Elephas maximus indicus: one gene and its partner. The protein of the gene in region 1 binds, or shares a complex with, the protein of each later gene. Links are inferred from orthologs where the notes say so. Each region holds a gene or a part of one and is shown on either strand. Other genes may lie near its edges.

Region 1 (8,074 bases):
TTTTCTTTTTGGATCAATCTTATATGGGGTTTGATGAGCATCTTGGATAGATATCCTTTTGTCTTTCATGATGTCAGGGAAGTTTTCTGCCAACAGATCTTCAACTATTCTCTCTGTATTTTCTGTTATCCCTCCCTGTTCTCAAACTCCAATCACACGCAAGTTATTCTTCTTGATAGAGTCCCACATGAGTCTTAGGGTTTCTTCATTTTTTTTAATTCTTTTATCTGATTTTTCTTGAACTATATTGGCGTCAATTGCCTTATGCTCCACCTCCCCCACTCTGCATTCCAATTGCTTGGTCTGCTCCTGTGACTTCCTACTGAGTTGTCTAATTCTGTAATTTTACTGTTAATCTTTTGGATTTCTGAATGCTGTCTGTCTGTGGATTCTTGCAGCTTATTAATTTTTCCACTATGTTCTTGAATAATCTTTTTGATTTCTTCAACTGGTTTATCAGCGTGTTCCTTCGCTTTTTCTGTAAATTGCCTTATTTCATTTCTGAGGTCATCCCTGATTCTTGAAGCATTCTGTAAATTAGTTTTTTATATTCTGCATCTGGCAATTCCAGGATTGTATCTTCATTTGGGAAAGATTTTGATTCTTTAATTTGGGGAGTTGTAAAAAAAATTTTTTTTTTTTTTAGAAGCAATCATGGTCCGCTTCTTTATGTGGCTTGATATCGACTGCTGTCTCCGAGCCATCTCTAAGATATTGTAATGATTTATTTTATATTTGCTCACTGAGTCTTATCTTGTTTTGTTTTCTTTCAATATACGTAGATGGGCTACTAGATTGCGCTGTCTTGATTATTGTAGCCTTTGAATCACTTATGTCCTATTACCAGCTGGTTTGGGTTGTTAGCAGATATATAAGCCTAAGAGTCCATTCACTATTCTTGAGTAGAATCTGATTTTGGGTTACCAATTGTGTGGTGTAGACTATCACCTATTCACTTAAAGGAGTAGTGGTGATAGTCGTGTGCACCAGATCCTAGTAGCGGCAGGGGGTCACACTCCAGGGGGGGCAGGATGCTGACAGGCTTCCCCCAAGTGCCATTGAGGTAGGTGTGTCTCTATTCCTAAAGCACTTTGGTGGGTGTGCTCTGCAGCTGTACCTTAGGCACCCAATGCATATACCTCTACAGATTGGGAGGTGTCACTATCCTCAGACCCCTATGGCAGGAGGCTAGGTGGTTTGGGTGGAGCTTCAGCCCTCAGTTCCCCATTGTGGGTCAGTGAAGGCTCTGTTTAATAGGTAGAGATATCAGACCAGGGAAACTTGTCTTTCCAGTAATGGGATAAAACAATTACAGTCAGATCACTATCAGAATTGCCTTTGCATTATAATAGCCACCTTGTTGCCTGTGGGGATGAAAGCCCTAGATCGTGGATCTCATATGCTTGGCTGGAGCTGGTTCTGTGTTTTTATTCCAATTTCAGGAAGTCAGGGAAGGATTTTTGGTCCCTGTTTTTTTTGTAGCTGCTTCTCTCAGGCCAGGAGAATAGGTTAGGAAAAGACAACAAAACAAAAAATTGCAGAGCACTTCACTCTCTGGCCCAGGAAATTCCAATGTTAATGAAGTGGCCTGGGAAGAAGATGGGAGGGATCAGATAGATAGGAGAGAGTAGCACCCAGGAATATAGACCAAGTTACTTATCTTACTTAGTGATGACTGTTTTATCTGAGATTCCGGAGGGGTGTATAGCCTGTGTGTGTTGGCTGGCTGGGTCGAGATTGTCCCAGAGGGTCAGGCCGGTGTCCTGTGCTTGTGCTGTCTCAGAAGCCGTGGTCAGTTCCTCTGCTTCCAGTGCAAAGCCCAGCGCCAAGTTTCCCCAGCTGGGACGACACACTCCAGGCTCCAAAACCAGTCGCTACCTCCCGGTGACTTCTCCTGTCAGCCACGTTGCTGCGCTGCCTGCGTGCACTGGCTGGGCTTCCCCCGAGGTCATTTCTGGGGGCTAGGGCTGCGTCCCGTGTTCGCACCGTCTCAGGATGCCGTGCTAAGCTCTGCTGCGCCCAGTACAAAGCCCAGCGCCAAGGTTTCCTGACTGGGATGCTGGCTCTTGGCTCCGAAAACAGTCTCTGCTTGCTGGTGGTTGCTGGTTCTCTCGTTAGCCGTTGTCAGTGTGCAGCCTGCTTGCGCTGGCTGAGTCTGTCACTCAGGTCAACTCTTTAGATCTGTGTTTGACAGTCAGGGCTTGTAGATTGTCATGTATGTGATCTATTCACTTGCTTTTCTGAGTCTTTGTTGCAAGAGGGATCCTAGGTAGCTTCTACCTAGTCAGCCATCTTGGCCCCGCCTCTTGAAATGTTTTTTGATGATGAATGCAATGCCATTCTTCTTCAAGTTGTCATTCCCAGCGTAGTAGACCATATGATTGTTTGGTTCAAAATGGCCAATACCAGTCCATTTCAGCTCACTAATGCCTAGGCTATTGATGTTAATGAGTTCCATTTCATTTTTGACAACTTCTAATTTTCCTAGATTCATACTTCATAATTCCACGTCCTCATTATTAATGGATGTTCGCAGCTGTTTCTTCTCATTTTGAGTCATGTCACTTCAGCAAATGAAGGTTCCAAAAGCTTGACTCCATCTACATCATTAAGATCAACTACTTTGAAGAGGCAGCTCTGTCCCTTTCACATTTTGAGTGCTTTCCAACCCGAGGGTCTCATCTTCCAGCACGATATGAGACAATGTTCTGCTCTTATTCAAAGGTTTTCACTGGCTAATTCTTTTGAATTTAGCTGGGTCCTTCTTCCTACTTTGTGTTAGTCTGAAAGCTCAGCTGAAACCTGTATGCCATAAGTGGCCCTGTTGGTGTTGAATACTGGTGGCATAGCTTCCAGCATCATGGTGACATGCAAGCCCCCACCATAGGACAAACTGACAGACATATGGGGGACAATCCACAGTAGCTATTGCCAAAAACTGGGAGTCATCTTTATTCCTCCTTTTCCCTCACAGTATACATTCAGTTTATTACGTAGTGTTTTGAGAGCTGCCTCCAGAATATATCCAAAATCTGACCACTTTTCTCTGTCTTTATAGTTTAAGTCAATAGTGGTTTCCTTTTGCTCTTAGACTGAATCCACACTCCTTACCTTCAGTCCACATCCAAGCAATTGTAAACTGTTTCAACTTACAATGTCTCTGATAACCTGACACTCCTTAGTTTCCATCTTGTCACACAATAGTGCAGGCCTTCCTCATCCTTGTCACGGACTGCCAGACCTTCCAGATTCTTCTCACTGTTGCCGGAGATAAGCACTATGCCACGAAGGAAGAGCAGAAACTCATTTTGGAATCTTACCTGTTGGTGTCTTGTTATTTTTAATCACCTTTATTGAGGTAAAATTTACATACTACAAGGTGCACCAATTTCAAGTGAATGAATTTTTACAAGGGAACATATCGATACAACTGATGCCAGAATTATGATACAGAATGTTTCTGTCATTCTTAGGTGTAAGAAAGTATAATAGCCCAGACTCATAAAGCAAGGGACTCTTCCTTAGGGACTCTATGACAGTTTTCTACAGAAACAACTGTTAGTAACAGGTCAGTTTCCTCTAGGCCAGTCATCTTCTACCTTGACTGTACTTTATAATCAACTGTGAAGCTTAAACATTCCCAACGCACAAGAAGCAACTTGGACCAATTACATCAAAATATTGGGATGGATCCCCGGCATCCACACTTTTAAAAAATCTTCTTAGTGCAGCAAATGTTGAGAACCTTTATCATCTTTTGCTAATGTACTTTTCAGCATCTTCTCCTTCAGATCTCACCTCATAGAACACTTCTAAGACATAGGTCCCCAGGTTTCGGAAAATTCCACCACCTGAAGCAGCTTGCTGGCATGCCCATAACCTTACATTAAAATCCTGGTTCCCCTCTTCTTAACAGCTACCCCAAACTAGAAGAGATTGGTGGAAACTGGTTTAGGAGCCATGTTGACATTCAGGATAATCTTTTAGACCCCATACATACTAACTCCTCTGGATGGAGTTTAACCGCCATTTTCTGACGATGCCATGGATGAAGTTATATGCAAACCCCATTGTGCTAGCATAGTATGATTAAAAATGTTGTTGATAGAACTTGTATGAGCTTCCTACTTGTAACCCCCTGAAAAATAACCCTCCCCTCGCCCTCGCTGAGCAGTCTCCGTGGCAGCAACCTGACTCTTCCTTTCCTTGAGCAACCAAATAAAGGCTCCTTTCTACTCTTTCACTTTGGCCTCTCTTTATTGGCTGAGGTGAGTGGTGACAAGCAGAACCTGGGGCTTCTACCGTGCACAATTTCCACAGAGAATTCTTTCCCTGAATCTCTCTTCTATATTAGGTCTTTCCTTGCTGTTACTACCTTTGCTTGTGTTTTTAGTAATGTCTGTTGCCCCACTAGACCATAAGCTCTCCATGTCTGGCACATAATAATACATGTAAATAAATGAATGCATGTGTAAATGGGAAACCCTGGTGGCGTAGTGGTTATGTACTACAGCTGCTAACCAAGAGGTCGGCAGTTGGAATCCGCCAGGCGCTCCTTGGAAACTATGTGGGACAGTTCTACCCTGTCCTATAGGGTTGCTATGAGTCGGAATCGACTCGACGGCAGTGGGTTTGGTTTTTTGGTTTATGTATAAATGAATGATTGTAACATTGTTTTAAAAAAAACCCAGGGCCGTCGAGTCGATTCTGACTCATAGCGACCCTATAACATTGTTTAGCGTGCAGTAAAAACGGGACGATGCAGGACCCGGCAGTGTTCTGTTCTGTTGTAAATAGGGTCGCTATGGGACCTGGGTGTCAGGGACTATGTAGGGAAAACCCAACCCAGCCATTTCTTTTCGGCGCAGCCGGTGCTGTCCCGCCTCCAAGCGAGAGGCGGCGCTGTGGAGATGCAGCAGTTTCCGGCCGGCTTTTCCTTTCCTTCTGCCGCCGGCGCCGGAACTTCCTGCTTTCGTTGGCCGCTCTGGGATGGCCGCCCCCACAGTAGCTGTTGCTATCTCTTAGTGGTGCCGGAACTTCCTGCTTTCGTTGGCCGCGCTGGGATGGCCGCCACCACAGTAGCTGTTGCTAGCTCTTAGTGGTGGCCCTTGCCCGGCTCGCCGACGGCAGTGCAGCTAGCCCTTTTGTTCTCTTCTCCATCGCGCTGTCCCGAAGGGCGTCGGCTTTCCCGCAGCGAGCAGTATGGGCCGGGAGTCACGGTGAGGCAACGCGCCCAGCGGGGGTGCGGGCGAGTGGCTTCTTCGGTGGAGGGAAGAGGCGGGAGTTGAGGTGGCCAAGGGGCCAGGTCTGGTCCAGCGCGGCCCCACGTGCGGCCGGCGCGGTCCCGCGGCTGCTGGTGGGGCTCGGGGCCCTCGGCTGAGGGAATGGCTGTACTTGATCTGGCTACGGGCACAGGAGTCTCCTGCATTATCGTCAGCCGATTCGAGCCCCTGGAACGGGAACAGCCCTCCCGGGTCGACTATGATTGAGCGCCACTTTCACGCAACCAACCTTGATCATTTCAGTCAGTAGTGATCCCTACTGCTTAGGGTTTGCAACATTTCCTAAGCGCCCTTCAGTCTGTATATTCGTTCTCTGTGCGTGTGTGATATTTTCCAAGTCAGTTGCAAGGAGCATGTGCACATTTTTACATAACCTACAACACCGTATAAGACTAAGCTTTAATTGAGCCACAATAAGTACATGTTACATGGGCATTTATTCTGAAAATAGGTTTCATATTTCTCTGTTACCTGGTTTCAAACTTTTTGAAACCGAAGATTGAGAGATCTTGTTAGGACTGTGAGATCTCTTCAGAACTTTAGATTGTTCATAACTGGTTCAGCACCTTGAGATTTTTATCTTAAAGATGACTGTTTGCAATGTGTTTAGCAGTGATTGAAAGAGCTTTTATTTCTAGGGACCATGAGGAGTTTTTTTAAAAATGTTAACTGTACTTTATTGGGGTATAATTATCATTCAGGGAAATATACAAAGCTTAAGGGTAGAGCTTGATGAAATTTAGCAAATATATAAACCATGTAATCATCGCCTGGGTAAGAACAATGTCACTCTGGCCGCCTTGACTTTTTTGCTATTCCTTGAGCACACCAATTAAGCTTCCTCTTCAGGATCTTTGCGCTTACAGTGCCTTTTGCTTTGAAAGTTCTTCTGCCATATATCTGTATGGTTCCTCCTGTTACTTCCTTCAAAGCCTGCATAACAAATGTTACTTTATTATGGAGGCCTTCCGTAACCACCTGATTTAAAATTGCAAACCTCTCAAGTCACATTATCTTTCCTTTTCCTTTACTCCGATCTATTTTTCTTCATAGCAACACTTGACATATTGTACGTTTATTTCTTTACGTGTCTATTAACTCTTCCTCCACCAAATATAAGCAGCCTGTAGCCCAAAGGCAGAGGCTTGGTCTGTTTTCTTCACTTTCCTTGCTTCTCTTTCAACAGTTTTCCTCCTCTCAACATGTGATGTAGCAAAAAGGTTCATTCTTTACCCCCAATTTAAAAAAGGATTGTGAAAAGAATCTTTTCAGTTTTTAATATGTCTGCTGCTATTTTGGAGGGAAATGTAATAAAATAAAATAGACTCTGTGTGAGCTAAGCTTAATATTTGAAGTAATAATATTCTAGCCACTATCGGAAGCGATCAGCATCACGTGGACGCTCTGGAAGTCGATCTAGAAGTCGTTCTCCCTCTGACAAAAGAAGTAAACGTGGAGATGACAGACGGTCTAGAAGTAGAGATAGAGATAGAAGGAGAGAGAGATCTCGTAGCAGGGATAAAAGAAGATCTCGGTCAAGAGACAGGAAGCGTCTGAGGTAAGACATAAATCTCTAAAAAACTGATGATAAATTAAGCTTCTCCAAAAGTGTGTTTTGGGCTAGAATTTAGTAGCTCCTTTGTAGACCCTCTGCTTTAACCCCAGGTTATTTGATTAGACATAGAAGTAATTCAGCTAGACCAAAAATTCTCAGACAGTATTTTAAGTTCGGAAACATCAGGCTGTCTCCTCTCACCCAGAGAGAGCCCTTAAAGGCCCCTGAGAGAGGGGGAAAAAAAAAATAAGGAGAAGGTAAGGTAATATGACTAGAGGATTCAATTTTAATTATATCCCAGCAGAACTGGAAACTGTTCAGAGCAGCCACTAAACCAGGCAGGAGAAAGAAACAGAGGGCAGAGCCATTTCCAAACCCTGCTTGTTATCTTAAAACATTTTAAATAACTCTTAGATTTAAACCAAAGAATGCCTTAATTTTAATTGTCCTTTTACTTGTTGACATGCTCGCTGGCACCAGTTAAGCAGCCTTAAATTTTTCTAGAAGTGAACATCAGTTTAAGTAAAAGTACTCTACCCTACACCAAAGATAACTTTTCTAAAACAGTTTCTCATTAAATCAGAAGGGAAAAAAAGGCAAGTTTGTACAGGTGCTATGAACTAATGACAGAAAGAACCTTGACTTTATCTTTTTCAAACATTTGGAGAAGAGAGTGCAAAGGTAGTACATGGCACTTAGGGAAAATATTCACCCGTGAGAACGTGGTTAATGCTAACTAATTCAGTTTTATATTTGGTCCCAGGAACAGTGTCATACAGTTCAGTCAAGTACACATTAAGTGAAATTGATCATTTAAGATTTGATTTTTGACTTCCTTCTGTGAAGGTTGAATAATGAGATTTTAGGTAAAGAAGGATTTTGAGATGATATAGCGAAGTCATGGTATTTTATAGATGAGGAAGCCAGTACCCAGAGAGATAGCAGAGTCTGCCCTATGTCATGTCGCTAGTTAGTAGCAATGGGTTTTTAAATCTTCAGATCAAGTAGCCCTGGTGGTGGAATGGTTAAGTGCTTGGCTACTAACTGAAAGGTTGCAGTTTGAACCTACGAGCTGCTCCGCGGGAGGAAAGACCTGACAATTTGCTCCTGTAAAGATTATAGCGTAGGAAACCCTATGGGGCAGTTCTACTCTATCCTATAGGGTCACTATGATTCAAAATCGACAGCACACAACAACAACAATGACAATCTTTAGATCAGTGATCTTATCCCAGCT
Region 2 (8,021 bases), on another chromosome or scaffold:
CAGCATGGCAGACCACGTGATTGTCTGACTTAAAAATACCAATACTGGTCCATTTCCGCTCACTAACACATATGATATCGATCTTTATGCATTTCATTTTTGACGACTTCCAATTTTCCTAGATTCATACTTCATACATTGCACATTCTAATTATTAATGGCTGCCTGTAGCTGTTTCTTTTCATTTTCGGTTTTGACACATCAGCAAATTAGTGTCCCCATTAAGGTCGACTCTACTTTGAGGAGTCAGCTCTTCTCAAGTCATGTTTTGAGTGCTCTCCAATCTGAGGGGCTCATTTTCTGGCAGTATATTATACAATGTTCTATAAGGTTTTCACTGGCCAGATTTTTTCAAAAGTATATTACCAGTTCCTTCTTCTAGTCTGTCTTAGTCTGGAAGCTCCCCGAAACCTGTCCCCCATGGGTGACACTCCTGGCATTTGAAATATCAGTGGAATAGCTGCCAGCATCACAGCAACATGCAAGCCACCACCGTACGACAAACCCTCATATGAGTGGTGGAGGATCAGTATAGGAATACACAAATAGATCCATTGGAAAAAAATACATAGCCCTGGAACAGGCTCACCAACTTATATGAAGAATTGTCTAATCACAGAGGAAGCACACTACAGGGCACTGCCAGAAACTTCAGGCACTTTAATATGTGGGGTAGAGTCAACTAATTATCTAACTGGAACAATGAATGTATTCCTCCATACTCCACATGCAAAAATAAATTCCAAGTAGATTAACTTTAAATGTCAAAATGTAAAATAACACGTTCAGAAATTATAAGCACAATTTCATGACATTAGTAGAGAGAGGAAAAAAAAAGACACAAAGGAAGAGATTGAAAATTCAATTATATTAAAATTTAGGACTCTATCGAAGGAAGCAAAAAATGAGTGAAGACCATAAGTTACATACTAGGGAAAAATTTTCCAATGAAACTATATTTTTCCAAACTCTATAACGAAGCCCTAAAAAGTCACAGAATGGCAAATTTACAGTGGGAAAACACGCACAGCCTTGTCACTATTGCAGTAGTGCAAGATCACTGCAGAATAAACTCAAAGTAACATACGATTTCATAAGCTTTACAAAGCATAATTTAATATATTTGAGAATCCCCATGTTGGCCAAAACAAATGGAACAGATAAAATACATATGCTTATTTTGTGGAAGGGAAAATGGGTAGAGAACACTGTAATTTCCTGATCAATTTAAATTTGGCTATGATCTGCAACTCAGCCGTTTTCCCTCAGTTGGAAGTTACTGTGCATTTAGAGCACGGAAAAAGAATGAACAGAGCAGCACTATTCACAAAAGCAAAACCTAAACTTGAAACTTTAACAATGCCGGGAATGACAAATTGAAGAGGAATGACATTGCATCAGGATTGGAGGAAGATTTATTAACAACCTGCATTATGCACATGACACAACCTTGTTTGCTGAAAGTGAAGACGACTTGAAGCACTTAAACTGATGAAGACCAAATATCATAGCCTTCAGTATGAATTACACCTCAACATAAAGAAAACAAAAATCCTTACATCTGGACTATAGGAAATATCATGATAAATAGAGAAAAGACTGAAGTTGTCAAAGACTTCATTTTACTTGAGTCCACAATCAACATCCATAGAAGCGGCTGTCAAGAAATCAAAAGACACTGCATTAGGAAAATCTGCTGCAGAAGACCTTTTTAAATTGTTAAAAAAACAAAGATGTCACCTTGAAGACTAAAGTGTGCCTGACCCAAGCCATGGTTTTTTCAATTGCTTCATATGCGTGCAAAACCTGGTAAGTGAATAACAAAGACTGTAGAACGATAATCAATGCCTTTGAGTTGTGTTGGTGATACTGAATACACCATGGAGAGCCAAAAGAACAAATCTGTCTTGGAAGAAGTACAACCAGAATGTGCTTCAGAAGGAAGGATGGCAAGACTACCTCTCACATACTTTGGACACGTTATCAGGAGGGATCAGTCACTAGACGACATCATGCTTGGTAAAGCAGAAAACCAAAACCAAACCTGATCCCGACTCATAGCAACCCTACAGGACAGAGTAGAACTGCCCCATAGAGTTTCCAAGGAGCGCCTGGTGGATTCAAACTGCCGACCTTTTTCGTTAGCACCCATAGCTCTTAACCACTGTTACCAGGGTTTCCTTGGTAAAGCAGAGGGTCTGAGAAAAAGAGGAAGACCCTCCATGAGATGGATTTACACAGTGGTTGCAACAATGGCCTCAAGTATGACGACTGTCAGAATGACACAGTATTGGGCAGGGTTTTGTTCTGTTGTACATAGGGTCGTATGAGTGAGAATTGACTCGACGGCATCTAACACCACCACCAATAAATATTTTCCACCTAAAGTGGAGTAACTATGGTCCACAATGAACTTGCTAGTTCTATTCGTGTTTCTTACTACTTTATCTATGCCAAAATCCTATAAAATTAAAAAATCAAACCCCTGCCATGGAGTCAATCCTGACTCACAGCAAACCTATCTGGTAGGATACAACTGCCCCACACAGTTTCCAAGACTGTAATCTTGACAGAAACAGATTGCCCCATCTTTCCTCTGCTCAAAGGGTGGTGGTTTAGAACTGGTGACCTTTCAGTTAGCAGACGAGCGCGTAACCACTGCGCCACCAGAGCCCGTTAACAAACCAGGGGAGGGGGAGACGCCTCCCAACAACCTCGCTTCCTTGAGAACCCCCAAGAGCTTCCCAACAGTCCTTGCCGGCGGGGACGCAGGCGGACGACGGAGCCCGGTGCGGGGCGCACTCAGGCGGCGGCAGCGGGGCGCGCACAGGCTAACTCCCCGGGCCTGTCACCCCGCATTCCTCACAGACTCCCGGCGACGCGGACACCCCTGGTCTCCGCCCACGCACGGCCTCACCTATTAACGCCCCGACACACCTAGGCCTCGCCCCCCTACCTGGCCGTCCCGACGCGGCGGGCGCGGGACTCCTCAGCCGGGCTGGGAGAGCACAGCGGCCGCTTCGCTGCGCCGCCGGCCGAGGCCCAGGCCCCGGAGAAGAGGCAGCGCCGGCAGCGGGAGGCTGCAGGCCAAGTCCGGCTACGGAGGCCCCGCGGCCCGGCACCATCCGGAACCCCAGCGGGCCCCCCCCGCGGACCTGGTACCGGGCCAGGCCGGACGCCGGCGGCGCCACAGACGTACCTCACGCCCCAGCCGGCCGACCGCGAATCATGGCTGCCGGCCGCGCACGCGCACTTCCGCTTCCTGCGCTGAGCTCTCGGCGGGAGGGGCGGGGTGCCGGCGCGGAGGCAGAGGGCTCCGCCCAGTGGTGGGCGCGTCCGGGACTTGGCTTTGGATTTGGGGTCTCTGTCTCTTTATCCTCCATAAACAAAAGCTTTAAAGCAAACACCGTTGACAACTAGTTAATCCTGACTCATATCAACCCTACAGGACTGAGTAGAACTGCCCCAGGGGTTTCCAAGGCTGTAATCTTTACCGAAGCACACTGCCACATCTTTCTCTTGTAGAGCCGCTGGTGGAATCCAACTGCTTAACCACTGCGAATACAAAGGATTCAAATTGACTACATCTGTGGTGGAAACAGATGATGGAAAAGCTCAATATCATCAGTCAGAACAAGGCCAGGACTGTAAAACACCACCAATTGCCCCTATGCAAGTTCAAGTTGAAGGTGAAGAAAATTAGAACAAGTCCTATGAGAGTATGACCTTCCTTACACTCCATCTGCATGTAGAGACCATCTCAAGAATAGGTCTGATGTGTTGAACACTAATGATCAAAGTCCAGATGAGTTGTGGGACGACATCAACGAAGTCCTACATGAAGAAAGCAAGAGGTCACTAAAAAGATAAGAGAGAAAGTGAAGACCAAAATGGATGTGAGAACAGACTCTGAAGTTTTCTCTAGAATGGACTAGCTAAAGACAAAGGAAGAAATGATGAAGTAAAAGAGCTGAACAGATGATTTCGAAGGTCAGATTGAGAAAGCAAAGTACTACAATGAAATGTGCAAAAACCTAGGGGAAGAACATGCTGGGCATTTCTCAAGCTGAAAGAATTGAAGAGAAAATTCAAGCCTTGAGTTGGAATATTAAAAGATTGTCGTTATGCTTGAGCCCATTATTGCAGCCACTGTGTCACTCCATGTGGTTGAGGGTCTTCCTCTTTTTTGCTGACCCTCTACCATGCGTGATATCCTTCTCTGGGGACTGGTCCCTCCTGATATCATCCTTGAAGAATGTGAGACGAAGTCACACCATCTGCTTCTCTTGAAGGATACTGTAGGCAAAACACTGAACAACTCAGGAACCATCAAAAGAAAATGGAAGGCTGTAAGGTAATGCTATTCAGCTATATGCATACCTCCTAATGGAATCAGCTTTGCTCTTCCCCGAAGCATGCTGGGGATGAATTCAGGATGGACTCAGGCTAAGGTACAACGGTGGGAGTGGCATGACTGGGCCAGCGGCCAAGCATGAGGAATGCCTTAGCAACAGGAAGGAAAACATCTGGGCCTGGGCGTGAAGTCCCTGGGAACACAGACTGCCCAAGAACGTGGGAGAAAAACAACGAGCCTTGGTCCTAGCTGGAGTGGTACATAAGGTTGGGTTCCTTGCTAGGTGGTTGCAGAGCACTGAACTGGGCCAGCTGCCGTCCCTTGCTAGGTGGTTGCGGGGTGCTTAACTGGTCCAGCTGCCGCCCTGAACCACGGTCCCATAAGTAAGCTTCCCAAATAAACCATACATATGTCATGATCACTGGTTCCAGAGTCTTTCCTAGGTCTCTTGGAGATGCAGCTAACCTTGGGTTCAGGTACCATTGGGTTGTTATCCAACAATTGGCAAGCCAGCCAGGAGACTGAGGAAACCTCCATGAGTGCTGGACATATGGCAGGGAGAGGGACCTTGATGGTAGGAATCCCTGGATGGCCCCTGTCCTCCATATATGTGGCGGGGAGGGGGGGTCGTGGCTATGGATACCTGGATCCCACCGCATGAGTACGGGGACGCTCCAAAAATGCCTAAGGGCATTGAAGATATGCTGTGTCAGCTGGAGTCCCCAAAGCGAAAGCCAGATGGCCATGCTGAGGCGGCTTGTGTGGGGTGGCTTCTACTGGCAGCGCTGAGAGGGGCGTCCGATCCCGAGCCAGCCGCTAGGGCCCTAACTAGGCAGCTGGAAGCAGAGCTGCAACTGGAGGGTTTGCGGGCAGCATACTCCTCCTCCACTGAAACATTAGTGCCCCGTTTGCAGAAGCAAGAGGCATTTTCGGGGGACATCCTGGGGTGGCCAACGACCTCTATGTGGGGAGGTCTGGCCCGTATGCTTTTCTGTGGGAGAAATCCTGGGGTGGCCAGCCAAGCCTGGCTAGCTCAATCGGTAGAGCATGGGACTGGAGCTACTTGGAGGGGATAAACAGGTCTCTGGCGCTGAGAACGCCCTGTAACACCCAGTGCAAAGCAAGAGTTAAAACAGCAGGGAAAAAAGAAAAAACAGGAGTAAAAAGCCCGTCAGGATAGCTTGTGTTGAGCGACCTTGAAGAGACCTCAGAATTCTCTGACAGCTGCCCCCACCAAGGTAACTGAACAGCAACCTAGCTGTAACTGCAATAGTAAGGGGAAAACTAAAAGAGGGGGCCCACCTCCAGGTTACCAGGTAACTGGGCTGGACCCATGCTTGCACTTGGTGTGATGGAGGTGTGGCCCCATAAATGAGTGAGGGCTCTGCCAACTTTTCCCAGATCTTTCAGAAATAATTAAGATTGAGGATTAAGCCTAATTCCTTTGTTACCAACGAGGAGCAAAGGCCTTGTGTTAAAATTAAAGTCCAGTGAGGTATACTTTGGGTCTGAGGTCACTCTCACTGAGACACTTACCCCAGCCTGACTATGGAGAAGTCCCTTGGAGCCCCTACAAATCCTTACTGCATGTACTGATGATGTCGATGTATTAATGCACACCTTTGTAGACTTTTGCCTCCAAGTCCTGATGGGAATTGCTGCAGTTAGGGCCATTTTTAGAGGGGCACGAGGAAACTGTGACATGGGCTATAGCTAACAGCCTGGCCATTCAATCTGGCCACTGAAAACCCTCGGACTGACATATAAAGCAATCCCCTACAGAGATGAGACATCTGGACGAAATAAATAACAAAAGCAGTCCTGCTCCTGAGAAACTTTTGTTACTTGTGTGGATAGTCATCAGAAAAGCCCCTGTGCTGAGAGTGGAAAACAGCCAACGAGCAGACCGGTCTTACCAGCTGACTGCAGAGGCTGAAGCATTGTCTGCTCCCGGGTGAAGAGATGTGCAGTCAACCACCTCCTGGATGTAAGAGAGAACCATCCATGGAGATTCACACACCATCCTAGACGGGGCCTACATACATGGACTGCCACTGCCATCAGAAAACGCTGGACAACACAGAAAATCTGACCTGCCTACAAGACCCTGGCCAAGACTAAACCTGTGCAGGGACAGATTCCCGAGCCAACAGGCCAGGGTGTTCTCAGCAGGCAAGTCATATCAGGGCATTTTATCCCATATAGAGGCTTCCACTGGATCTTCAATGAACTCGTCACACTCTTTATCACCCCAAGACGTAGGGGCAAAGGAGCACTTCAATGGACAGGTTTAAATGGCTGATGGGAGGGGACGAGACAACCCCAGCCTGGACCATGCATCTCAGACAAGCAGTCTGGGGTCTCAGTGCAGCAGTTCCCTGCAAGGGCATTTCTTATTTGTGCCGTATGTTTGATCAAACTATCTATTCTATAAAATGTGCGTCTTTGGTGTAAAATTGTTCCTGACAAAAGATCTGGGTTCCACAAAGGCACTGACCAGAGCCCACAAGAGGAGGCCAATCCTATGGCTCCCTCTGCCAAGGGGTGGGAATTTCCCTCACCCCTAGACTAGAGGTGTGGCCAAGGTGCACCACAGGTGCGGGAAACCATCTGCTGGGTGACAGGGGGCCAGAGGCCACACACTGAAATGATCATACTCTGGACCCCCACTAACGAACATGTTCTGGCTCTGGTAGACACTGGAGCAAAGTGCATCCTGATGTATGATAACCCAGGTAGGTTTAAAGGGCCACTAACACCTATTGATGCGTACAGGGGTGGGGCTGTCAGGGTGTGCCAAATTAAACTAGTGCTGCAGATTGGAAGGCTACCCCTAAAGGTCTACCAAGTATACAGAGCCCCAATACTGGAATACGTTCTGGGCAGAGATACCTTGTTGAGGCTGGAGCTGCAGACCTCCGGTGAGTTCTACCTGCAAGTGAGAGCCATAAAACCTGTAGTACAAGGTAATGCTAAATGGTTCCCTGTGCAGTTGCACTCCCCAGCTCTGGTCATGGCCCTTAAGCAGTACTGCCTCCCTTGCAGACACTGAGAAATCACTGAGGCCAGGTGCTACACCCAGTGGGGATTCTGAGACCAGCCAAGAGCCCCTTCGATAGTCCTGTCTGGCCGATGCACAAGCCGGACAGCTCCTGGAGAATGATGGTAAACTACTGGGAATTGAATACGGTGACTCCCCCTTGTTTGCAGCTGTACTCAACAGCGCAGAGATGATGGGGCAAATGGGGCAGGCGTTGGGCACTTACCACTTTGTGCTTGATTTGGCTAATGCTTTCTTAGCATCCTTCTACACCCAGACAGACAGGACCAGTTTGCCTTCAGTTGTGAGGCGAGGCAGTGGGCCTTCACTGTGCTGCCACAAGGGTACCTGCATAGCCCTACCATATGCCATGGCATGGTTGCCACTGACCTCGAGCAGTGGATTCCCCCTGCTGAGGTGGCCGTATTCCACAATATTGATGATGTCATGCTGACCTCTGACTCCTTTGCTTCTTTGCAGACTGCAGCTGGCGAGGTAGTCACGCACCTCCAGTCGCGGGGATGGGCAGTGAATGAGGGAAAAACGCAGAGGCCTGGCTTGTCAGTCAGGTACTTGGGTGTTAATCTGGTCGGTAAGATGAAAGTGATGCCTGAAGCGGTGAGAGAT

What was found.
Region 2: DDX46 (region 1) and SF3A2 share a complex: the UniProt entries of both Homo sapiens proteins name them as parts of the 17S U2 SnRNP complex. The link is inferred for Elephas maximus indicus from reciprocal best matches to the Homo sapiens genes DDX46 and SF3A2.

The regions. Positions count from the first base shown.
Region 1 is NC_064820.1:147,205,124-147,213,197, forward strand, and holds the start of DDX46 (probable ATP-dependent RNA helicase DDX46), read left to right. Parts: upstream 1-4,973; 5' UTR 4,974-5,202; coding exon 5,203-5,219; intron 5,220-6,651; coding exon 6,652-6,840; intron 6,841-8,074. UniProt on the Homo sapiens protein: Component of the 17S U2 SnRNP complex of the spliceosome, a large ribonucleoprotein complex that removes introns from transcribed pre-mRNAs.
Region 2 is NC_064821.1:2,910,582-2,918,602, reverse strand, and holds the start of SF3A2 (splicing factor 3A subunit 2), read right to left. Parts: upstream 3,042-8,021; 5' UTR 2,957-3,041; intron 1-2,956. UniProt on the Homo sapiens protein: Component of the 17S U2 SnRNP complex of the spliceosome, a large ribonucleoprotein complex that removes introns from transcribed pre-mRNAs.